2 linked regions of the Stegostoma tigrinum genome follow. The protein of the gene in region 2 interacts with the protein of the main gene of each other region in a pairwise test. Links are inferred from orthologs where the notes say so. Each region holds a gene or a part of one and is shown on either strand. Other genes may lie near its edges.

Region 1 (12,989 bases), on a different chromosome or scaffold from region 2:
AAAGCACAATTCCAAACTCCTGCTTGGGTGTGACTCCAACCTGATATCATAGCAATAAGTGATTTCAGTTGTTTGTGTCCAACATTTGAATTAGACTGGAATTTTTTCTTTCAGTGCAACGAACAAACCATTGTACCTGTCAATATACTACCACAACCACATCAGGATATTACACTTCCTAACGGATCCACTCTTCAAACTTCTACAGTGAAGAAAAAAGGACACAGAAGAAGAAAGGGAGAACTAGAATTGAATATTCTGAACGTGGTATTGTAAATGACTTGCCAGTAATTTCATGATGTGTTAAACCAGTTCTTTCTGCAAAAAAGATTTAGTCTTGCAAGAGTTACAGTAAACAAGCTGGAAAGTTTACTTCAGGTTGACAACACTTTAACAAATTTATATTTGTTAGATTAGAGAGAGGGAGATGAAAAGTTCTACCTTTCTTAGTCGTTGTGAAATACTTAGAATCCGTCATGGTGATCCTGGGATAGGCTCCTGAAAAGAAAAAAAATGTAGTTGATTTTCCTGCTCAATCAGCAATGTGGATTTTCCCAACAGGAAAAACAAAGTTACTGATTAATCGGTGTTACGGTACAGTGCCTCTGTAATGAAACTTGTTGTTTTGCTACTTCCCCCTGCCTTTTAGCTCTTTCAGTAATTCTTTCAAAAATGTGCAAATATCGTCATCCAGTAACTTAATTTTCAAGTTAAAAAATGCACACTTTGTATAGTGTGCACTTTGCTTATATATGTCAATATTCATAAAATAGCACAACTTTTAATCTGGGAGTTGAGGGTAGCCCCTGATGACCTGGTCCATATCAGGATCATTGATACAGAAAAGTAGTAAGATCCTTCTGAGGGTGCACTGGGAGTTACAAATTGAAAAACAACATGTGTATAGAAGCATCACCCTAGCCACATACTAACTGATAAGAATTGACAACTGAAAAGGTGATTGCAAAGCTCACAGCTGTGCAGGACATGGGGATTAATTTTATGGGTCACCAAGACAGGAAGGTGCTGGATAGTGGTGCAGAATGACACCTAGGTCAATGTGAAAAGAATAACTAAGGCTAGGGATGAGACTTGAAACCAGCAAGATGGGGTGAAGGAAGATGTGGCAGAAACAGAAAATAAGTTGCTGAGAGTAAAGGAAAAGAATAACAGAAGCATAAACAGTCACAGAACAGAAACATTTACAGACCATTACTAAGGAGGGGTTGGAGGGAAGCACAGTCAATGGGAATAAACTAAGTTGGCTGTACTGTAATGCATACAGTATCAGGGAGAATCCAAAGCAATAATTTGTGGTGGTAAATCAGATGCAAGATCAACTGAGACTTGGCCACATGGAGAACAAGACTGGCAGTTAAATACAGCAGGACATAACACACTTATAAAGGATAGAGACAAAACAGTGAAGGAAAGGTAGCTGTACTAATCAGAAATAAAAAGAACAGTTAAAAAACAAGATTCCATGTCAATTAGGAGGTGGGAGGAGCGATTTGATCATGCTTAGAAGAGTAACCTGTTGACCATCTAATTATGGAAGGGGACAATACAAATATTAAAGGATGATGGAATCACTTGAAACTTTCTGCATTTGTGTACCACTTAACATCATAAATGCTCCATGGCTTCACAGGAAAAAGTTATTCAAACATATTCAGGCAAAATTTTAGTTGCAATTTAAAAAGGGGATGGATGTAGAGAAGTATGGAAGTGGGCAGCAAGCACAGCAGTTAGCACTGCTGCTTCAAAGCACCAGGGACGCCAGGAAAACTAGCTGTGGGTGACTGTACATGTTCTCCTTATGTCTGTGTGGGTTTCTGCTGGATGTCTGGTTTCCTCCCTCAGACCAGGAATGTGCAGGCTAATTGAATTAGCCATGGTAGATGCAGGGTTACAGGGACAGGATGGGAAAGTGGGTCCGGGTGAGATGCTTTCTGGAGGGTCGTTCCAAACTTAATTGCTCAAATTGCCTTTTTCTGCACTGTAAGGATTCTATAAGGAGGAATTCCAAAGTTCAAGGCTTAGGAAACTGAAAGCTCAATGACTGAAGGTAGAGGAATTAAAATTGAGGAAATCAAAGAGCACAAGTGGATGCATTCAAAAATCTCAACATGTGGGGAGGCTAGCTGTTGAGAAAGGTAATGCCACGCAGAGACAAGAGAATAAGGAGGAGAATTTTGAAATTACAAGTCCCATAGCTGGACTGGGAATAGAAGTAGCTCAGCGAGCAGAGCCAATTGGTGATTGAATCTCAGTGCAAATTAGTGTAAAGAAATGGAAGAAGCCATGATAGTTAATTTTCCTTAGTTTTTACCAGAATGAATAACAAAGGAGGTTGAGGGGTGACCTTAGAGGCTTACAAACTGAGTATAAAATGAATAGCAAGGTGCTTTCCCTGGCGTTGGAAACTTCAAAACTGGAGGCTTAACTTAAAGGTGACAGGGGAAAGATTTAAGATGGACTGGAGGAGCAACGTTTTCACAAAGAGGGTGGTGCGCATATGGAATAAGCTAGCAGAGGAAGTGGCAGATACAGATGTAGTTACAAAATTTAAAAGACATTTGGACAGGTACATGAATAGGAATGATTTAGAGATGGTACGGGCCAATTAGAGGCAAATGGGACTAGTTTATTTTGGGAAACTTGGTCGGCATGGACGCGTTGGACCAAAGTATCTGTTTCCGTGCTGTATGACATTCTGACAGATATAGCATTAAAATGAAATCCAAAGCAAAAACAGATAATTAGGATGGAGAAAGATAATTGTTGGACTAATTAAATTTAGAAATGATTAATTTTTGTTCAAAATTAACTACATCCACACAGTTAAAAGAGAACTAAGAGCTGGCAGATTCAAAATAAAATCCATAGAATAGCAAACCAGGTCAGGAAAATAAATGGACAATCAATATTATTCCTGTATTCAAAAGGGCGATAGAACAAATAAGGAGTTATTGTGAAGTTAACTAAAAATTAATCGTTAAAAAGTGGAATATTTACTCAAGTGTGAATGCCAACCATCTAGAAACTGCACACACATCAGTCAGTTTACAGAGTTCTTTGAAGTCATAAAATGCAAGAGTAAAGTTAATTCAGCAGGTGCAATATTAGATAGACTTTCAAACTACCTTTCATTTAGGTAAATAAGAGGCTTATGCCTGCAGGCTAGCATGCAGATTCTGGGGACAAGTAGCAGAACAAATCGAAAACTGAATATAAACCAAAAAGTATTCAAAGGAGTTACAGACTATCAAGGTGAGGGAATCTAGGACCAGAGGGTACAATCTTAGAGTAAGGGTTGTCCATTTAAGACAGAGATGAGGAGAAAACTTTTCTCCAGGACAGTAGTCAATTTGTGAAATTCTTTGCTGTGGTGGGCTGTCAAAGCTGGGTAATTAAGTATATTAAAGGTTGAGATGGACATATTTATAATTAGTAATGGAATTAAGGATTTATAGGGATAAGGAAGGTGGAGTTACGATATCAGATCAGCCATGATTGCAATGAATGACAAACAGGACCTCATGGACCAAATGGTCTATATTTGATCTTATGGTAGTGGTCCTCCATAGGGATTGGTATAGGGACCATTTCTGTACATGAATGCAAAAATTATCGAAGAATGAAAAGAATCAGAATTGCATTATCAAAACTTGCAGATACCTTTTTGGGAGATATGGCTAATAGCAAGAAAGATTACACCAAAATAAAAAACAAGCTCAAAAAATCTGTAGAATAGATGTGTAAATGGCAAAGTAATTTCAAAATATGAGAGGGGTGTTGTACTCTGGTAGTAGACATAAACAAGTCACATTTCCCTTGGAAAATTATCTTAAGTGGGGTAGGGATACAAACAAATCAATAAAAGTAGAAACAGGTCAACAAAGTCACAAAATGCAAATAATACATTGGGTGGGAAGTGGTTTGCATGGAGCATAAACACTTGAATAAACACATTAAACTGAACAGCCTGCATCTGTACTATAAAGGACAGTGTAATAAGTATTTGAATGTTTCAGAACCATTCAACCTATCACATCATCGAAACAAGCTACCCAATTTGGTTCCTGCATATTTTGCATTAGACAAATATTGCCCGAAATTACCCATAGGCAAGTATATTAAAGTAGTTGAACTCTATTTTAAAGTTGACATTGAGTGCATACAAAACAGTCATATCCATTTATGAACAAAACAGCTTCAGACCTTAGTAATGAAGACTTTGTTTCTTAAAAGAGACAAAACAAACAATTTCAAACCGAGAAGATCCAGGATTGTCATTTGCTACAAGCACAAATTGAACCTAACACCAAAACAGCAATCGATGTGGAGTCAAGGAGATCAGAATTTTCCTGTCACTACCCGGCCAGGGCAAACTGAGCTCAGTTAAATTTCAATGCTGAAGAGGAAACGGAGCTTGCCCATCAGCATGACGACCCAATTCCTTGTTTCTGGTCATTTAGTCAATGCAGCATTTCAGATGGCCGGTGGAGACTGGATGGGCAGAATGGCTTCTATCTGCACTGTGATTCTACTTGACGTTTGCCAGCACAACAGCGATTGCACTTCAAAGACATTCGCCGGGCCAAGAGCTTTGAGACAGGACTTAAACACAAGTCTGTATTAATCACAATCAGGGAGACCGTAGGAAGAAACAGTTGGGGGTGGGAGAATGTGGTGAAGATAAGGGCGCTATTTAAAAGGGAATGACTGTGTTATTAAGGGAACACGCACGATTTACAAAAAATATTAAATTTTAACAGTGAAATGCGTCCGGTTTGCCATGTCTGCCCGAGGGGCGGGAGAGAGGGAAGGGGGCGGCTCACAGTCTCCTACACCTGCTCGGGGTCCTGGAGGCCCAGGTTGGGTAAGGTCCTGGCCCCAGAGGCCGGGTAGATAGAGGGCAGCGACTGCGTGTGCGCGCGCGCCCCGGGAAAGGGCTCAACCCCCACCGCACACCCCAGACCTCAGACTCCTGACTCCCAGCTCACTCGATCTCAACTTCCGGCCACGGCAGAAAAATTAACTTTCAGCAGGCGGACAATGGTGGGTGGGGGGGGGGGGGAATGTAGAAAGCGAGAAAGAGAAGCGTAAGCACCCACCTCCCCGCGGTCACTCGGCTGAAATGAAAGTCCAGTCTCCGGTCGAGAAGGGGGCCCCCGCCAGATCGACTCCGTCCTCCGAACACCAATTGAAGCTTCAAGATGTCCGCCCGTCGCCAAGCTGCGCTGTCACCCAGCTGAACCGGAAACAATGCGCGCCACGAGGCGGGGGGCGGGGCCAGCTTCCGACCACGCCCCCGGATCCTGCCCCAGGTCCGAGCTCCCCCAGCAGTTGCAATGCAGGCTGCCTGCAGCAAAGTTCACTGTTAGACGAGGTTGCCCCAAAATCAAAACCCATATCATCTCCTAACTTAAGAGTCGAGCTGCAAAAATAATTGCTTTTAAAAAAACATAAATAGGGTGTGCTGGAGAAACCCAGCACGTCTGGCAGCACCTGTGGAGAGAGAGAGAAATGTAAACAAAGTCAAATCTCCTGCTCCTCTGATGCTGCTTGGCCTGCTGTGTTCATCCAGCCCCACACCTTGTGAAAGTGATGATGGGAACTGCAGATGCTGGAGAATCCAAGATAATAAAATATGAGGCTGGATGAACACAGCAGGCCCAGCAGCATCTCAGGAGCAATGCTGCTGGGCCTTTTGTGTTCATCCAGCCTCACATTTTATTACCACACCTTGTTATCTCAGATTCTCCAGCATCTGCAGTTCCTACTATCTCAAATCTTTCCAGGCCAGTGTGATTTCAGAAGTCCTTTCACGTTATGTTTCTCTGACCACAGATGCTGCTGGTTTTGCCGAATTTCTCCAACACTTTCTAATTTTCTTTTCCATTTCCAGCATCCATAACATTTTGCTTTAATTTTTATTTTATTGCCGTTCCCCTACAAAACAAGTTGAAAATTGGTTCATAAACCCCATTAGTGTCTTAATGTCGAGCATAAAACAATTTGTAAAGCACCAATAGCTCAAAAAGTGAATAATGATGTCCTTTTTTGACAAGTGCTCAGAAGGAACAAATAGTTGCCATTGCCAGAGTAGCAGTGTCAGTCCACTTTAGATCACATAGAAATGGGATCTGAGGGAAAAAAATTCTCAGCCATTTCTTTGTAAACAGCGTAAATACTTAACAAATGTTTATAGGTTTGCACTTGTATGGATTCCAGCACACATCTGTCAAAAGGAGCCGAGATCTGAGGTCAGAAGTCACACAACACCAGGTTGTAGTACAACAGGTTCATTTGAAAGCGTAAACTTTCACATTGCTGCTCCTTCGTCAGTTGAGTAGAGAAAGGCACACATCATATGATAGTTATACATATTGGCAGCGGTCTCCAGCCCCTTTATGAAGATTACCAATTGGTGATGATAAACATGATGTCATGACTTAATTGGGAATAATGTGCTGTTGATTATGTTCTGCAATTCTGCAAGCCATCACCAAAATCTGTAAAATGTAAATTAGCCCACGAAAATGATCAAGTTGCTGAACTGGCTGTATTCAGATCAAAAGTAATTCTCACCCGGTTTCATCATTAATAGGAAATACTTGTCTATTTGTTGCAACTCCATTAACTTTAACAAATAGGAGAGAGTCCCTAATCTGCTGCAATACGTCTTAAACAATACCCTTTTAAAAAGCTAAAAATTAACAGTCTTATTCATAATTTAGACAAACAAAAGACAGATGGTTTGGCACATGCCTGGAAAAACATGTAAACAGGGAATAAAATCTGAAGATCAAACAGCCAGAGCCCCAGCATGTTAAATAATTTCCTATAGATCCTTTTATTTTTAGGAGTGATGACACTGTTGATGTAAAGCATTGTTCATTTTTCAATTGGTAGTTGATCCTTGACCTAGGTCTCAGAATAAGGGATGCATATTTAAGACAAAGATGAGGAAGGATTTCTCCTCTCAGAGCATTATGAATCTGTGGAATTCTTTATTGCAGATGGCTGTCGAGGCTGGATCGTTAAGTAGATTCAAGGTTGAAATAGGTAGAGTTTCAGGAAATCAAGGGTTATGAGGAAAAGACAGGAAAATGAAGTTTAAGTTTATCAAATCAGGCATGATTTCAATGAATGGCAAAGCAGACTCAATAGGCTGAATGGCCCGCTTCTGCTCTTATGTCTATGGTCTTAAACACTTCTTTTGAATCACCCCACCCTTAAAGACAGCTTCAGTTACTGTAACTTGATTGCACTTACTTTATCCTCTGGTGATGGATTTTGGCTAGTATTGTGCTGGTCACCACTTGATGGAAAAATATCTGGAACCTGTTTCTGTAGCTGTTTTATCTACCTAATCTCAATTGGATGTACTGTGATTCTTGGCAAAGGTATAAATTTCACTCTGATCACAGGAGAAAGTCAACTCTGTTCATGGCTCCTTCTATGAATGTTCTAGATAACAATTCACTTCCTAGTTGCACTTTGTACAACAGAACTGGGATATATTCTGCCTTTATCATGTTTATTAACTCTTTAGCTTTTATTGCACTCTCTGAAGGGAAAACTGTATCCTTCTGGAAAAGAGCTTGTGAAGAGACAATGGGACAGTGGAATTATTGCTGAGGTGGTAATCCAGAGACGCAGGTAATATTCTGGGGGAAACAGAGAGAATGTAAGAGAAGCTCAGCAGGTCTGGCAGCATCTGTGGAGAAAGAAACAGAGTTAATGTTTTAAGTCCTGTCATTTCTTCAGAACTGGGAACCAGGGATTCAAATACCAACATGGCAAGTGGTAAATTTTGAAGTCAATAATCATCTTGAACTAAACGTTTAATGATGATCTTGAAACCACAGTTGATGATCATGAAAAACACCCATGCAGTTCATTAATACCACCTAGGGGAAGAAAATCTGCCATCCTTGCCTGGCCTGGCCTACATGCAACTCCAAACCCACAACCACCTGACTCATAACTGTCCTACGATGTAATGTTTAGATTTATCAACTGCTAGAAAGTGACAAAAAGGGAACAAAAGAATGAAAATGGATGGATCATTGAGCATTGACAAAAGCTCTAGAAATGACAACAGCAAGTTCAGCCCTTCAACTCTGAAAAATCGCCTTCACTAACAGATTAGTACCACAATTAGAGACTGAGCAACAGCCTGGCATATACTCAAGGAATCATAGTTTATGAACAATGTCCCAGACTACTCCCTCACCATATAATACAGCTTGAGGAAATTCAGCAATGAGTCGATTCACTAGAGTCTGAGCTTTTCCAATAGATGCAAGGTTCTTGCTGCTAGTCTGGACAGGGTACAAGAAGGATGAGTGAACTGATCACTGGTCCAGGGCACCATTTAAGTAGGAGGAGAAAAGAAAATGTAGTAGTAATATGGGGAGCATAGTTAGGCAAATTGATGTTGTTCTTTGTAGCAAAGACAGGCATTCCTGAAGGGTGTGTTGCCTACCTGGCGCTGAGGTTTGGGACAACTCTTCTGGTCTGGATAGAAACTTGGAGTAGGTGACAAAAGATCCAGTTATTGTGGCCAACAACATGGATAGGACCAAGAAAGTGTTCTGCTGAGGAAATAAGAACAGCTCAGGGTAAAGTTAACCACAGAGATAACAATCTCCAGACTACTATCTGTGCTGTGTGCAAATTGGCACTGGGTAAATAACATTAGAGGTAAATGTGTGTCTCAAAGATTGATGTAGGAGAAACGAGTTCTGATTCATGGGGCACTGGTACTTTCACTGGAAAGTGAAAGCTGTTCCATTGGCACAGGCTTCTTTTGAAAAATGCTGGGGCAAATGGTATAACTAGGGCTGTAGATAGGCCTTTAAACTAATTCGTGGGAAGTGGTGAGTGTTCAATTGAAAGGAAGATTGAAAAGTCAACTAGAGTCAAGAGAGCAAAGGTGCATGACAGTGAGGAGGTGAACAATAATCAAAATGTGATGGGAAGGGGTAGAAAATATTTGCAAAATAGTGCAACAAGATTAGATCCATAGTTAGTAATAAGGTTTAAAACATCAGAGTTTAAACTCCTTTATTTGAATGCAGAAAGCACTTTCAAAAGGACTAGGCAAATCAAAATCAATGGATATGATTTGATAGGCTATTGCAGATTCATAGTTGCTGGGTGACCAAGATTGAGAACTCAGAACAAGGGTATTCAGTGTTATTGAAGAATAGGCTTAGAAGTAAAGGACATATGCATGGTGAAAACTGAACACTGCTTTTCCTCTCAATCTGCCCAGGTGAGACACTGCTGACAAGTGCAAGCGCACATCACCTTTCAGTTAAGTAAACTCTGTTATTGTTGGGAGTAAATTAAAGGAATCCTGATGTTTAAAAATCTCCTGGATTGAATTTAATAGCCACTAGTAGATTGAGGGTGAATCCTCTAGTCTTCTGGCTATTCTGAGACCATTAGCAGCCCTAGCCATATGAAAGTGTGGAGCTGGAAAGATTTACAGCCACTGGAGCGTGATTCAAATACAGAGTATGAAGAGATTTGCAGCACCCATGTATCACAAATGGAGCTGAAAGGGGAAGCTTGGGAAGGAGAGACAGTGGATAGAGAAGCTTGAGAAAAGTTTACCTCACCATAATATGGAGCTTTTGTTTTCTCTCTGACAGTTGGCAAATTGTTCCCAATTGCCCAAAGTTTACTATTGATGAAATAAATGATGTTGCTTTTAAAATGCGCAGATTTGCAGGAGCATTGATGCAAGAAACGTTCCAGTTTTATAACACCCGTGAAAATTCCAGTTGGTTGTGAGACCAAGAGAGAGAAGTTTAACTTTTCTTATAAATTGCATTTCTTATTACTATGCATGTATTGGGATGTCTGCAGAAATAAAGAGAGCTGCCACCTCCAGAACTCGCACATCGCCGTTTCTGAATAATTGCCTGTATCCATTAGCATAAATAAGCTTGATTCATTACAGTGTTGGTATAAAACAATAAACTTTATCAGATTTTCACAACTTGAGTTGCTGAGGCTGAAAACATACAATTTTTCCACACATTCTCCTTCTTAGCATTTTGCAAAATCAATGTCCTTATAATATTTTCTTAAATTAGAGCGCTTATTCTGTTAATAACTGAAAAGTAGGATTTCAACAGCATATTTTTAAAATTCATATAATATTTCAATTGACTGCAAAAAATATTAAGCAGATATTTTATCAAATTTGTTTTCTTCCTTCTTCCAAAAACCACAACCTGTGCTAGAGCATAATTCTGTTAGAACCAATAGTTCTCCAATATCTCAACTGTTAGTTTTTGCATTATGTTTGGGCAATGTTGAGAAATCTAACATCATAGCTGAAAGCTAATAGCATCCTGACTTAAAATTAAACCTCATAAAATCCACCCAGCGGGGTGGTGATCAGGGATAGGAAATCTGACTGACTTTATTCACGTTTGCATGGAGACGCACGTAGATTTTACAAGGGGACAGAATAAATCCTCCACATCATAAAAGTCACCCAGAAACCTTATGACATGAAATCTGGAAGCCCACCCCTACCCTCATCCCCACAACCACAATACCCAATGGGCATCCATAATTAGTTAAGAGTGCAACATCCACCCTTCAGGGACAGGAAAACCCTCCCCAGCCCTGTGAGTTACCAGCTAATCAGATTGTCAAGTTGCTCATTAGCTCTGTTGTCCTAGCACCACCTGGAGTCAACAATGACCACTTTGGGGACAAGATCAGAAATCACACGACACCAGTTTATAGCCCAACAGGTTTATTGCAACCTCCAAGAACACTTTGGGACAAACAATCCTGAGGAAGTGAAGATCTCTCCAAGCTTGTGGTTCAGAACTTTAGGCATGTATGGTTGGGAGACCTCAGCATAGTTGTGGTTGGCCAAGTGGACTGTTGGAAAGCAGAGAAAGGGATTGAGTTGGAGATGTCTGCATGGGGAGCCAAAAGCAGATGTACATCTTCAGTGAGACTGCCTCCCAATACAGACAAGGGATCATCTGAAACGAGGGGCTTCTTCCTGCACAACAAGAACTCATGCTGTTGAGGTTGTTGGGCTGTTCTGTTCACTTCTCTCTTGCCCTGCAGACTGAAACATTGCATCGGAGGTTGAATGAAGCCTTTAAGTTGCAGCTGATTGTGCACTGAAGGCCCTCAATAGTCTTATAGGAGTGGACGGGTGTGTGGGTTTGCCTGTAAAGTATTTCCCTCTCTCTGCAATATGGGAAAAAGCTCAAGGGTGGTGAATGATTGGCTGCTTATTCTATTTTATATGGGCCTCCGCAGCTTCAAACATGCCAGCGTAGGGCTTTAAATTTCAGCCCATATGGTCACTCTCCTACTGTTGCAGATCAAAATTAGTGACCAAATAAAGATTGTGCTTATACATTGCTGTTTGTGAGCTGCAGGACCTCAAAACGATTCACAATGAATGGTGTACTTTTGATGTATGGCCACTTATAACATCATTAAATCAGAATTCAAAATGGAGCCCAAGATAATAAAATGTGAGGCTGGATGAACACAGCAGGCCAAGCAGCATCTCAGGAGCACAAAAGCTGACGTTTCGGGCCCTACTGGTTTCCATGACTGAGTGTCCAACGAAGGAACTTGCGATTAATTTCTGTAGGTTTTGGTTTAATGTCGGTTTAGAAAGGAAGGAAAAGGCTCTGAAAATATTGATTATAAAAATATATATTTCTTACAGAAATACATATCTTATAGCGGTGAAGAATTACTGTAATCGGCTGCAAAATACTTTGGGGCTATTCACCTGTTTTTGGATTTTGGTTTTTACCTGATCTTTTTCCCCATAAATTGTGCAATTACATAATATATGAAAATTGGAAATGAATTTAAAATGAAGGGAAAATATGTAAAAAAGGAGAAGGAGAGTGGGAATTCAAAGGCAAAATTAAAGAGAAACATTTCGAGATTTTTTAGAACAAGGCGGTAGGCTACAAGACAGCAAGAAGCAGACAGCCAGTTCCAGAGAGGGCAGTAGGCACAGTGTTGTGGACGAACAAACAAAATGTACCTTAATATTAGAGAAACAGACCACAACGTATCTGGCAAGATATCATTGAGGGCAACTACGGGTGGGCAATGATGCCCGCATCCCACCAATGAATAAAAATAAAATACAGAAATGTCTGAGAACCAGGAAAAGAAATTTGAAGCTAACTTACTGGGGAAGGGAGGAAAAGCTATTTGGAAAGAATGTTTGTGGTGGAAATGTATGACTTTATGCAACGGAGCAAGTATGTATTTGAATGATCTGTTAAGATGAGGTTTGCTAGGAGAGTTTTAGGAAAGTTAATAGGGCTCAAGATGTAAAACAGTGACTTTTCAGTTACAGGAGATAAATAATTGTGGAGGTCCCAAGAAAGCACTTTTGGTAATGGAGGAGGTTGAATTTAAGGTTAATGGAAGTCCTAGACTCTGAATCTCTTAATTTACTTTGAAATGGTATCTGGGAAATTGATAGTATAAAAGTCAGAAGAATGTAATTGGTGGTGAGAACAGAACACTTTGCTGCTGTTAGGCTAGCAGAAGTGTTGGCCCATCCAAGACCTGATAGCATTCCAGAAGTGCCCTGATTCCAGGTTAATGTTCTGCTCAGGGGTCAATTGAGGAATCCCAGCCAGGGCATATATACCAGAATAGTGTAATAAAATTAAAATCTTGCAGATGGTGGAAATCTAAAACACGGAGAATATTGGAGTAACTCAATAGGTCTGGCAACATTTGTGGAGAGAGACACAGAGTGAAGGTTTCAAGTGCAATATGACTACTGTCAAACTCAATAGTCCTAATGGATTCACAGTCATGTTCAGCATCACATGGTGTGGCTCAGAAACCCCATTAGAACATTACAGTCTCTGCCACATTTGCTGCAAAGGAGGATAGTTGACTGAGAAGGCGTAGGATTCCCTGGCCTCCACTTTCTCTGGGCT
Region 2 (12,811 bases):
GGTAGCTGGTTAGTTGGATTTAGGCTTTTGCTTGCAATTGATGTTCTTCTATTCAGAGTCTTTTAGTGCTGAATTTACTTCCACTCAGAGGGCAAGAGACAGGAGAGTTGTCTTGGTTGCATGCTTTTGGACATCTGAGTACCAGTGCTCCTTTCACTCAATTCTGTGATGAAGGACTGCTTATAACCAATCCAAAAGCTGTTGCTCAGCAGGTTTTTCCATCTGAAAGCACCTAGTCTCTCAAAATTATCAAATGCAGCTTCTCCAAAATTTACATATACAGGTAACCAAATGAATGAACAGCAGTTCTACTTTTGCTTCAAGTTGCAAAAATAGTTCATTCTTTGCAACAGAGATAAAAGCTTCCATTTTCCAGTTTATATTTCAAATAAAACATATGTAATCCTTACACTACATTTAAAATAAAAAGAGGTCTTGAGAAGTCTCAAGAGGAGCCATCGGAAGAAAGTTGTGCTTTGCACAGACTGCTTAGCACATCAGGAGTTGTAAATGGTCATGAGTGTTTCCCAGTGAACATCCAGACTTCTCATCTTACTGGTGTATATAAAGATAATGAATTAAGTTGCTGACGATGGTTGGACCCAATACCCTAAACATCTACCTTTGTAAATAGTATTAGTTGGGGCTCCAACCATTAGAGTTTGCTCCCCCATTTTCAACTGACTTCAAATTTTTGCTTATATCCCTTAATGCTATACTTGGCTAAACGTTGTCTTGATGTCATGAATAATCAGTGTGTTCTCACCACAGGAAGTCAGTCATTTGGCCACATTTAAACCAAGGCTGATGAGGTCTTAAGCTACAGCATCCTGACAAAAGTCCAGAGTTTTAGATGAGTTCAAGTTGGTGCAAGACAAAAAGTTCATTCAGAGAAGATATGAACAGTCAAATCTAGAGGTATCAAAAGGTACAAATGAGGGTTTCAACAAGGACACAAAACAAACAAACAAGCCAAATATGTTCCAATGGGAGATGGAGGCAATCTCCAAGATGGAAAGGATCAGAGGTTGGCAGTTCACGATTAGACAGGATACTAAGTTTGCCAACAGTCTGGTTCAGCCTTACACTTTAGCCAAGACTGGAATGAAGTTAGCTGTTTGATGTGGTATCATTACTGTAATCCACATACAATAGCATTGATATTCCCAATATTTATGAACAGGATTTCTGCCCAATGATACTGGATGTTGGACAAACTCTGCCAAATCAGAGGTAATGTCATGGTCAGAACAGATGTTGGGGAAGAAGGAACAGATTCAGCATACACACATGGAATCAGACATGTTTGAGTGCAACGTCAAGAAAATGTACATAAATCTAAATAAAGATATTGTAACATTTTGTAGGTTCCGTTCAATGTTCTAACATTTTTCAATGCTCAGTCTCTGGCCAAAAACTGACAGAATCTCAAGGTTTCTAGGTCTTCAAATGTAACAATCTGCTAGCAAATGCACCCATCACAACCTGCCTTCAAGTTAAAACAAGTTAGGCTAAGTACTGAACAATGGATTTTACGAGATGCGAAGAAAGGATGTTCCTTGATCTTTTATTTTTAAATTATGCTTAGACATACTCCAAAATTCTCTCTCAAACAAATTATGCCACGGCACGATATTTAGAAAACTGACACAGCCTTCCAAGGCCTACACTAATAATCACCCTTCCTTGCCAAAATATTTTCAGGTTATTCATTAGTAACTCAAACAGTATCAAAAATATTTTTTCATTAACTGTAGTAATTTGCAGACTTGAGTCTTAGATTGTCAAGTTTAATTCATTTACTGGATTAAGCAGAGTGGATAGGGTCTCTGCTTAAATTATGCTCATTTTAATATTCCATCAGGATATTCATTATCCATGCCTGGATTGCCCCCCCAATCAACCTGTTTAGAGGCGCTTCCCCCTGCAACAGGTGGGATTTGAACTGAGCCTCCTGGCTCGGGGTTGGGATACTACCACTGTACCACAACAATGCCACATCTCCTCAACAGAATTACCCATGACTAATCAAAATGTTAGATTAATAACTGCCTTACATAAACTTATAACAAGCAGTTCTGAAACTCAGCAGAGTGATTTCTACCAACAATGCTCAAGGCTCGTAAACTGGTAGTAAAGTACGTGCTCATCTTCGTGAAGTGAGCGCATAACAAAGAGAGGGCCAGGGAAAAGACGACCATACTTATTCCACACAATTGCTTTAAGTGGCCATTTTAAGTTGGCAAGTACAAAGTTAATATAGGTTGATGGAAAATAAAAAATCAAACATCTGTATGATACTGAAATCTTGTAAAACATTAAGCAAACAACTAAAGCCAATTAAAAAATACAGGGAAACTCTAAATCATTAATTTCAAAACGCAAGTAAATCTTTGCACTCAGTACTCATTATATGTCCCACAAGTGTCAGTGCATAGACCATTATAATTTCCAGTGAACTTAAGTGACCTAAATGCCAAAACTATGAACTAGTTGAATCTACAGATGACAAAATGGCAAAAATACAGGACCCACTGAATAACTTGCAGAGGTACTTGAAATCAAAACACAGACAGATATGATTAAATTTAAGGCTGAAATACAATGTACAAAATGCCTAGGAGGATATATAAAATAAGGAACAGTGTACAATTAATTAAATTTAATAAACAAAGGGACCTGGATAAAAAGTCACAGGAACTAATAGTAGACATATCAATTTCAGTGTCCAGACAATGGGCAAAGTGGTAAAATAATTTAAAAACAGAGAAAGCAATGGCTGAAGTTTATATTCCTCATTCTCTTCTGTGCAAATCAATGTATTAGGTTCAGCTTTGAATATTTCACAGAGAAATAGATTTGTGTCAGAAACAGTGCAAAATGCAACAAAACAGATCCAAATGAAATGGGATAAGCTATGGAAAAACGATTAGAGAAATTCAAACTATGCAGTCTAGACTCTAAAGACAAAAGGGTGAGCCAACTGAATTACATAACTACCTATAACAAATGTAAAAGCTTGTGGTAAATCTCACCCCGAACCAATCAAAACAAAATGTTGGAAATTCAGAGCACTGCTTAAATGGAACTAATACAGGTTTAGTAGCTTAGTCTGTTAAGGAGTTGGGAGAAGAGAAATACACAAAGCACAAAACAGTATGAGAGAATATAAATAGGCATTGATGAAAAAAATATGAAACTGATATTAGGAAAACGTTCCTTGTTTCAGATTACATGATTAAATAATCCATTGATCAATACAACAGACCCAAAAACTGTGTTACATGTGAAAAAAATGACTGCCACGGTGAAATAAGGAAGATGCCAAATGGACTGATTTGCTGTTTCTTATCCTCATGCTGCCTGTGAATTTACATGCAAAGGAATTCAACAATGATCAAAACATCAAGCTGGAATTGCTGAGTAGTACATGCGCCTATTCTAATTGTGGGTGGCCATCTACTTGATAATAAAAAAGACCTAGGGCCCATGACCTTGTCTCCTATTCAAGGTGCCTTTGGACTTCAACTTCATTTCCATCCACCACATCAAAAAAAGTAAAGTGCATAGAACATAAAGCACACAGACTCCATCACTGCCATTCGGCCCAGCTGTTTGGTGGGGAGTGGGAAAGACAGCGGAAACTGTTTGACCTAAAATCCTGCAAATAGAATACAAATGGCCAATTCTTTCAGTACATGGGCTGAATTCCAATTAAATGCTTAATGAATGATAATGCAGTTGCAATTTGAATATGCTACTACACATGGATTCCACAGTGCATTAAAGATGACTAGGCATTATTTTGATAATTTTATTTTAATATGAACTAGGAATTTAAAACATGGAAGGACAACGAGTACTGCGAATAGTTAAAGCAGCGAGTGACGCGACTAGACACAAACATTAGATTTCCAGCCGGGTTTGTACACAAGATCTCGGTCTAAACACTTAAATCTACGCAGTATGTGGTCTCCCGTATATTGTAAATAACTCCAAGTACAGATGCTTAGATTGCAAGAGTCAAATGCATTCTGTATGTTGCAAACATGCCTACAGTGCGAGAGCCCTTTCGATCGAAAGCTATGTAATAACTTGGTTTAAAACCACTCCAACTAAGTGTAGTGTGCTCATTTAGTGGCCAAATAACGCCCGAACACAAGCATTTGGTCCGCTCAAAGGAAAACAAATAAATCATGATAGCACGAAATCGCTGAGAGGAGCAATCAGTAAACTGGAGGCAGTAAGCCGCACCTGCTTTTCAAACAAACAGTTATATTTTAGTGACTGGGATTCGTTTGATGGGAGGGCAGGTTAGGCTGCGGTTGGTTGTAGGTTTGTTCCGCGTCGTCGCTACACAAGCCAATTGAAAAGTAAGTGACTGAATCTGATGGATTACACAAATCAATAATCAATCTTGAACCTCGAAAAAAAAATGCCGATTCTTAAAACAGACCAGACAAATTTGCGATTAAAAAGAGCAACACTAATCCAACAATTTCCAGCCAAACTGAATACAACAGTGAGTAACCAGCTTCAGCCAAGGAATTTTACAAATGCCTCCCGTGCAGGGAGATTCTACAGAGCGGACCCAGAAGCACGGCAGTCTCTGTACCGTCACCTGGATTTCCAAACCAAAAAAAAATCTTAATGCTATCGTCCTTCAATAGTCAAAACACACCCCGAGACGCTCGTTTAGATTACAGCAAATACAAAAAGATAATGTCAACTTTATTTTTAATAAAGTAAAACAAAGGAGTTAAATAAGACTGCAGTCCAGTCACCATTCATTCTCTTCAATTGTTTAATAGTAATGCCACATTTCTTTATTTCTTTGGAACTTGTCACAAAAGTCTCTTCTCCCAGCCCCCAATCTTCCATTTCTCTTCCCAAAAAAATTCCAACGCAACAGACCATAGAAATTGGGTGTGTGCCAACATTATCTTTTCTCCTTTTAACAAAAGATGGAAAACCATCCAAACAAGTGTAATATATTATATATCTATATATGCTACGAGTGCCTTTTGAACATATTTTGATTTTAACTTGTTTATAAATATCTGATTGTCCGACTCGGGACTCTCTAATCTCAGCAGCGTACGAACTAGAAGTAGCTGCTGGCGCCGTTTGTGGTCTCCATCGTCAGAGACGCTCTCCCCTCCTCCCTCTTTTTATATGCGAGCAGCAGATTTTTGTTGTGCAGAGTTCCAATTTTAAACCACGCTTGGGGCGTTAATTCTCGTGAGGGCATAACGAAAGAGAAATAGGGGGAAATAAGTTATCTGCATCGTAGCCTTCTTTCTGGGATCGGGGAGGGAAGGAAGGCTGCAGTGGAAAAAGAGTCTGTCGTTGGGAAGCGCGGCTGTTACCTGTTGTCTGCCTTGGACGTGTTAGGACAAGGCGGTGGATGAAGGACAGTCTGATTTTCTTCCATTTCCACTATACACTTGGTGTTGAGTTCCAGCTCTGTACAGAACATCAGTCACAACGTTACCAAACAGCCTACAACTCCTGCGTATCCATCTCCCCAACTATTAACTGTTACTTCAAATAAAAGACCCTTTTCTTAAAACATTCCCGAGAACCACACTGCTTCTTGTATTGGATTTTAAACTCCTCCTTACCTCGTCGGTTCATTGGCCGGACTCTCACTGCAACTTTCACCTTAGAATCCGACATTTTCGCACTTTTATTCCTTGCCCAAACCGGCGTTGCTATAAACTTATTCCTTTGGTTGCTCCCTCTGTTGCACTTTTTTCTCACGTTCTTCTGGCGCACGTGTTGCAGAAAGCCACGGGTCCATTACTCGATAGAAATTCGAACAGCAGAAGAATCGTTCTCGTTTCTGTCTCTCTCTTTTACTTTAGCCAAAGATGTTCAACTCCACTCCCTTCATCACCGCCGCCATGTTACAAGCGTTCAATCAGTCAAGTCAGGGCCCGCGGAGATTCCCGAAACCTCCAATCGTTCAGATTGAGTTCAGTTCAGCTCGGCTCCGCTCCGCCGGACTTCCAGCTGCAGCACGGAAACACCCGAGGATTAGGCACTCGTTTTTTTTAAAAAAGCACACAGGCAACAGGTCCGCACGGAAACGCCCGAATGGCCTCAGGTCAAACGCAATGAGAGCTCAGAGAAACCAACCCTGACTCAAAGGTTGCGAGAGATCCTCCTGTTACCCACCCCCACCGGCGAGACGAAGTTTTTATTTTAAAAGTCTGAACGCATTTATTTTAAAACGTGATGATCTCATCCGTTTAAACACTGAATTATCTGGTCTCTTGCACGGTATTGCCAGTAATTTAATCTGAATAGAAATTTATGCACGGCAGGTTGGTCATGTTGAGTGTAGAGAAGAATACAGCGTATGATTTAGGGTGAGAATGTTCCATTCAGAACCTACGGTCTCCACACCCGAATGCTTGTAGCATGTATCAGCTGCCCAAGGTCCCGTCATAATCTCGTTTCTTCGCGCCTTCCAGTCTTGAGTTTTTTTAAATCAGTCATTGTTAATACCCTCAATTTTCAATTTCAATGAGCAATATAATTAGATGAAAACATGAATTGATTTCTCATTGTTTGTCGCGAGTGTACTTCAAAGTATAATTCTCCTTCCCTTAGGGTGCTCCTCTTTATGTCCTGAAAGATTCTCGCTCTTCCGCCATCATTAACTCAAAATTAATTTGTTTTGCCATTGACCGTAACCTTGTTTTATGTAGTTCGAGGTGGTACTGTGTACATGATGATAATCACTTCTTTGGTCCAACTGGAGGAGTCCTAGGGAGTAATCACTGGGAGGTCTATTGCATTACCACAGCAATGCAGGGTTTACATGAGTATGACCCACATTTCACATTTCTATTAAGACTTATGCGTACGCAGCACCAACTGTGTCTACCAACTCCTTCGTTAGGCTGCCTTTGTCGTAATTACATTTTCACAGCATGCCTTTACTACATACAATCAAATATTAGACTGTTCTTATAACATCTCCATCCAAGTCTTTTACCCTCATACTATTATTGTTATGGATGTATTTATACATTGTAATAACCACTATTCGTTGATAATCTGGAAATTTCACTTTCTTCCTCAAATCTGTTCTCTTCATACTTCAAAGAATGGTCATTTGTTGGATAGAATTTGGTTAGACTGTCTTGCTGGTGGTCTGAGGTCTGTAGGTTCTCCACTGTTCCTTGGTTTGTTAATTGCTTATTCCAGTAAAGACTCAATGGATAGTTCATCTGTCCCAAAGAGGAGGATTATCCAGATAACATTACATAGACAATGTTCTCTCAGGTTGCCCCTTGCTTGGATTTCCACCAGAATATTAGACAATCATATCCCTATACCTATGGTTTCCAGTTATGCCAGTTTTCAGCAACTAGGATACTTTAAACTACCCTTTTGATTTTCTTAGCTCCCCTGACTCATGAATAATAGTTGTCATTCTTTCTCGCCAAGAATGTGATAAACTCTCCTATACTAGAAAATCCATCTGGAAGATTAGCATATGAAAGATTAAAGATGACTAACTTCATTTCTGCTGAATTTCCCAAGGCTCGAAACTGCAGTGCACATTTCTCTGAATTACTTTTTTTCACTATTGTATTCACTCAGTGAACCTTCGACTGTATCATGTTTTAACATGGTACGAGGCTCCAATGGATCATAACTGGCATTGGATTTAGAACATAGAACATTACAGCACAGTACAGGCCCTTCAGCCGTCGATGTTGTGCCGACCTGTTATACCGATCTGAAGCCCATCTAACCTACACTATTCCATGTACGTCCATATGCTTATCCAACGACAACTTAAATGTACCTAAAGTTGGCGAATCTACTATCGAGTCTGAGTACAGAACCAGTTTAATGTCCAGTCAAACTCCTTAATGTGTCTACTTCTTTGTTGGATGTAGGATCCGCTCTGTGATGACCTGGTTGTATTTAGTGGTATGAAAATGATATGTTCTAAGTATGATGGTTGATCTAAGGTCACTCTTGACTTATTCTGCTTAATATCTAGTCCTATGTAACTGAAGGTCCCTGAAACTTGCTCCCAACAGTCAAGTACTTTTTTAATGTTATCTATCACATATCACTTGAACTCTGCAAAATTAGCCTCTAGCAAATCACCAGCGTGCATCACAACGATGTTTGTTAGTTTCTCCTAGCGAAACGAGTAAAATACAGCTAGGCCTACTTTTGACCGAATCCTCTTTCACCTGGATGGTCCTAATGGAGAAATATCACATCATTGATGAACCATCCAAACCATAGACACATTTGTTTAATTCCCACATATTCTTCTCCAAATTGACAGCCTTCTTAGCTGGCACCAAAAAGACTTCCTTTCGAAAATTTTCCACTCACGAAAATTTCATCAGTCAATTTACATTGCAATGAATTGCATTTTAAAAGAGCCAACAAAATCTTCATATTTCCTTTTCCTTCTGTCGGGGAATCAAGTCCAATAATTTGATCACAAAGTCTTTCTTCAAAACTCAGAGCCAGCAGTCTGTCTTTAGCCTTTTCTTTATGTACCATCAAGATACTGTTATTCTACATATCCAACTATGTGATAAAGTTCGTTGTCTCCTGACTAGTACATCAATACACACACAACTTCTTTCAAGTTTTCCAACTCTTTTGCTTGATGTCCTTTATAAACTTTTCTAATCTGTTAGCAGCCACTAAAACTTGCCAGTCACAAGAACTTACTTCTCATGGCATTCCTAGCCTGTATCATCTTTGTTCATGTGAATTTATGTCCTCTACTTACCCTCCTATCTCATTCTGTCCTAGAACTATGAGATCTCACCTTCCTTTGGCCAGAAATCCATTTCTTGCACTCCATTTTTTTTTAGGACTACGTTCACATTCAGGTACACTTTCAAAACTTGTACTACATTTTCTGGACTTTCACACCTTAGTTTCCTTTTGCCAACCTATAGACCTCACGTTCTAACCCTTATCCTGCATATTTAGCCAATGTCTACATTTGCTGGTGGCTTTCCCTTTGTCCCTAGCATGGTGGCATTCCTCTCGCTTTACTGCTGATTTTCAGTTCCAGCCTGTGGGATCTATAACCCTACCCTGAGCATTAGCACTAATGTTTCCATATTGAGTCAGCCCTTTACCTGACATGTTCTGCTCATGTTTATCCAAGATGTGTGTATCACTTAGATTACTCACTTCACTTAATTACTTGTTCCAGTTCTGTAAATGTATGGTCAGTGCCAATTAAACTTGAAAAATGCACCTTAGCAATTTGATGCTATAAAATGGTTGTTTTTCTATCATTATCCAAATCTTTGCCTGAACTTTCCACCTTTTATAAAATACTATGTCCCAGGATTACAGTTAATTTCTGCTGACCTTCTGATGGCTATGAGTCTCACTGAATTTAGTCTGAAATCTCGGCCTGAATTAATGCCTTTCTCCCTACATTCAGGGCATTGATGTTTTCAGAAAGAGTGAAGTTAAGTGTAAGCATTTCCCAAGCTAGGGAATGGGAAGTACAAGCCCATCATATTCCCTTTAGGGTGAATTGTAGGAGCAACAAGTCCAGAGAACCCTGGATATCTAGAAAGTTCAGGACTCGGATAAGAAGGAAAAGTGAACCTTTTAAAGGTGCAAAGGAACAAAATCAACTGAGGGCCTAGTAGTGAGTGTCAAGAGATGTACAAAGTTAGCTCAAAAGTCTCCAGTGGCTATTCCTCTAGCAAATAGATATTCAGTTTTTGGAACTGTAGAAGGGGATAGTCTCTCCAAAGAAAATGGAATGGGCAGTCTGTTATTGGACACTTAGAATGATTCATATGTTAGGCAGCATTTGACAAGATTTAATAGAATTATTGTTATAGGAGATTCTTCTGTCAGGGGCATAGACAAGTGATTCTGTGGCAGTGTGCCTAAATTTAGGATTCTTCGTTGCTTTCCTGGTGCTAGGATTAAGGAGGTTTCTCAATGTTTCAAGCATATTGTTAAAATTGAGATTGAGAAGCCAGAAATTATTGGACACGTTGGTAGAAATGACATCCTGAGGCAAAAGATTAAAGCAGTACAGAGTGAATTTAAGAGATTAGTTAGATGATTAAAAAATAGAACCTTGAAGTTAGTAATTTCTGGTTTACTCCCAATGCCAGACTCAAATGAGGGAAAGAACAAAGGGTTAAAGGAGATAAATCAATGGCTGAAGAAATGGTGCATTGTTCAGGGATTCAGGTTTTTGGACAATTGGAATGTCTTTTGGAATAGAATAGACCTGTTCAAAAAGGATGGTTCTAACCTAAACTGGAAAGGGACCAATATCTTAGCAGGGAAATTTGCTCATTCTGTAAAGGAAAACTTTATTTTGATAGCGAGGGTGAGTGGAGGAATTCTAAGTAGCAGTGTAAACAGAAGGATTAATGGGGAAGGTTCTGAAAGTGAGGAGACTGCATCAATTAGCAAAGAAAGACAAGAGAGAATCAGAGTATATAGTAGCTCTGAAGAACCAAATTGGATTTATTTCAGTGGGCAAGGGGTCTTACAGTTAAGGCTGATGAACTCAGGTCATGTTTAAGAATGTGGGATTGAGACTTCATAGCCATTACAGAAACTTGGCTAAGAGATGGACAAGACTGGCAGCTCAGTATTCTGGGTTTTAGATGCTGTAGGAAGCATAGAAAATTAGGCTAGTAAGGAGGGGCCAGTGATGTTTTTGATTAAAGAATACATTACTGCTGTAACTAGGGAAGATATTGCTGGAAAACCATCCGGTAGAAATAACAAATAAGAAAGGAAAGATCACTTGGATTGTACTATAGACCCACCCCATTCCCCTCCCAACAGTAAGAGGACAACTGAGAAACAAATATGTAGGGAGATTTCAGATATATGTAAGCATAATAAGGTTGTAATAATGGGGGACTTTAATTTTCCAAACATTGGTTGGGGCTACATTGTGTTAAAGGTTTGGATGGTGAAGAATTTGTCAAATGTGTTCAAGAAAAAAATTCTATCTCAATATGTGGATGCTCTTACTAGAGAAAGACAAAACTAGACCTTCTTTTGGGCAATAAGGCAGGGCAATGACTGAAGTAAAGGTGAGGAAACACTTTGGGTCTCGCGATCATAATTCTAGTAATTTCAAAATAGTTATGAAAAAGGTTGAGCCTTCCAAAAAAGTTAGTTTAACTGGAGTAAGGCAAATTCTAAAAGTACGAGACAAGAACGTTCAAAAGTTGATTGGGTAGACTATTTGCAGGTAAAGGGACATCAGGCAAGTGGGAGGCATTCAAAAGTGTGATGACACAAGAATTCAGAGGTGTTTTGTTCCCGTTAGATTAAAGGGTAAGGCTAGTAAAATTAAGGAACAATAGATGAATAAAGACACCAAAGTTCTAATCAAGAATAAAAGAGAATTTTATTTTAGATACAAACAACTTGATTCAACTGAATCTCTTAATCAATATAAAAAGTGTGTAGGGGCATTCTTAAGAGAGAAATCAGGGAGGCAAAGAAGGAATATGAGATAGCACTTAACCAAAAAAAGGTTAAGGATAATCCAAAGAGATTGTACAAATACATTAAGAGCACAAGGGTAACTAGAGAGAGTATAGAGCCTCTTAAAGATCAAGGAGGTTGTCATTGTGTTGAACCTTAGGAGATGGGAGAGATACTATGAATATTTCCCATCAGTTTTTCTTTCTGTGGAGAAAGAAGTGGAGACTAGAGAATGCAGAGAAATAAACTTTGATGTTTTAAAAACAGTTCACAATTACAGAAGAAGTGGTTCAGGAGGTCTTAGAGAACATAAATATGGATACATTTCTGAGACCAGATCTAATGTATCCAAGAACATTGTGGGAAGTGAGGGAGGAAATTATGAGACCCTTTGCAGAAATATATGCATCATTTATAATTACGGGAGAGGTGCCTGATGACTGGAGTGTGGCTATTGTTGTACCTTTTTTTAATAAAGGTTATAAGGAAAAACTGGGGAAGACCATAAGACATTGGAGCAGAAATTAGGCATTTTCAAGCCACTGAGTCTGCTCCACCATTCAGTCATGGCTGCTAAGTTCTCAACCCCATTCCCTCACTTTCTCCCAGTAACCCTTGATCCTCTTGAGAATCAAGAACCTATCTATTTCCATCTTAAATGTACTCAATGACCTGGCCTCCACAGCCTTCTGTGGCTGTGAATTCTATAGATTCACCACTCTCTGGCTGAATACATTTCTCCTTATCTCTGTTCTAAAAAGTCTTCCCTTTAGTTTAAGGGAAGTACCCTTAGGTCCTAGTCTCTCCTACCATAGGAAACATCTTCCCAACATCCACTCTGTCCAGGCCATTCAATATTCTGTAAGTTTCAGTTAGATCCCCCTTTTCCTTCTAAACTCCATTGAATATAGACACAGAATCCTCAGATGTTCCTCATGTGTTAAGCTTTCCATTCCTGGGACTATTCTTATGAACCTCCTCTGAACGCTGTCCAGGACTAGTACATCTTTCCTGAGATATGGGGCCCAAAACTGCGCAAAATACTCCAAACGTGGCCTGAAAACTATAATACTATGAGTCTAACTTTGGTTGTGGGCAAATTATTGGAAGTGATTATCAAAGATAGGATTCATAGACATTTAGAGAAGCAAAAATTGATTAGGGATTGTCAGCTTGGTTTTGTGTGAGGAAAATCATGTCTCATAAACTTGAGTGAGTTTTTTGAGGAAGTTACCAAATACATTAATGATGACAGAGCAGTAGACGTTGTTTGTTTGGATTTTGCTAAGGCCTTTGACATGGTTCCACATGGTAGGCTAAC

The links.
Region 1: the proteins of kif13a (region 2) and ap1b1 interact in binary tests that used the Homo sapiens proteins (3 or more experiments, as listed by UniProt). The link is inferred for Stegostoma tigrinum from reciprocal best matches to the Homo sapiens genes KIF13A and AP1B1.

What each region holds. Positions count from the first base shown.
Region 1 is NC_081379.1:21,048,209-21,061,197, reverse strand, and holds the start of ap1b1 (AP-1 complex subunit beta-1), read right to left. Parts: upstream 5,265-12,989; 5' UTR 5,121-5,264; intron 499-5,120; 5' UTR 479-498; coding exon 442-478; intron 1-441. UniProt on the Homo sapiens protein: Subunit of clathrin-associated adaptor protein complex 1 that plays a role in protein sorting in the late-Golgi/trans-Golgi network (TGN) and/or endosomes.
Region 2 is NC_081355.1:33,300,249-33,313,059, reverse strand, and holds the start of kif13a (kinesin-like protein KIF13A), read right to left. Parts: upstream 6,116-12,811; 5' UTR 5,680-6,115; coding exon 5,625-5,679; intron 5,467-5,624; coding exon 5,370-5,466; intron 1-5,369. UniProt on the Homo sapiens protein: Plus end-directed microtubule-dependent motor protein involved in intracellular transport and regulating various processes such as mannose-6-phosphate receptor (M6PR) transport to the plasma membrane, endosomal sorting during melanosome biogenesis and cytokinesis.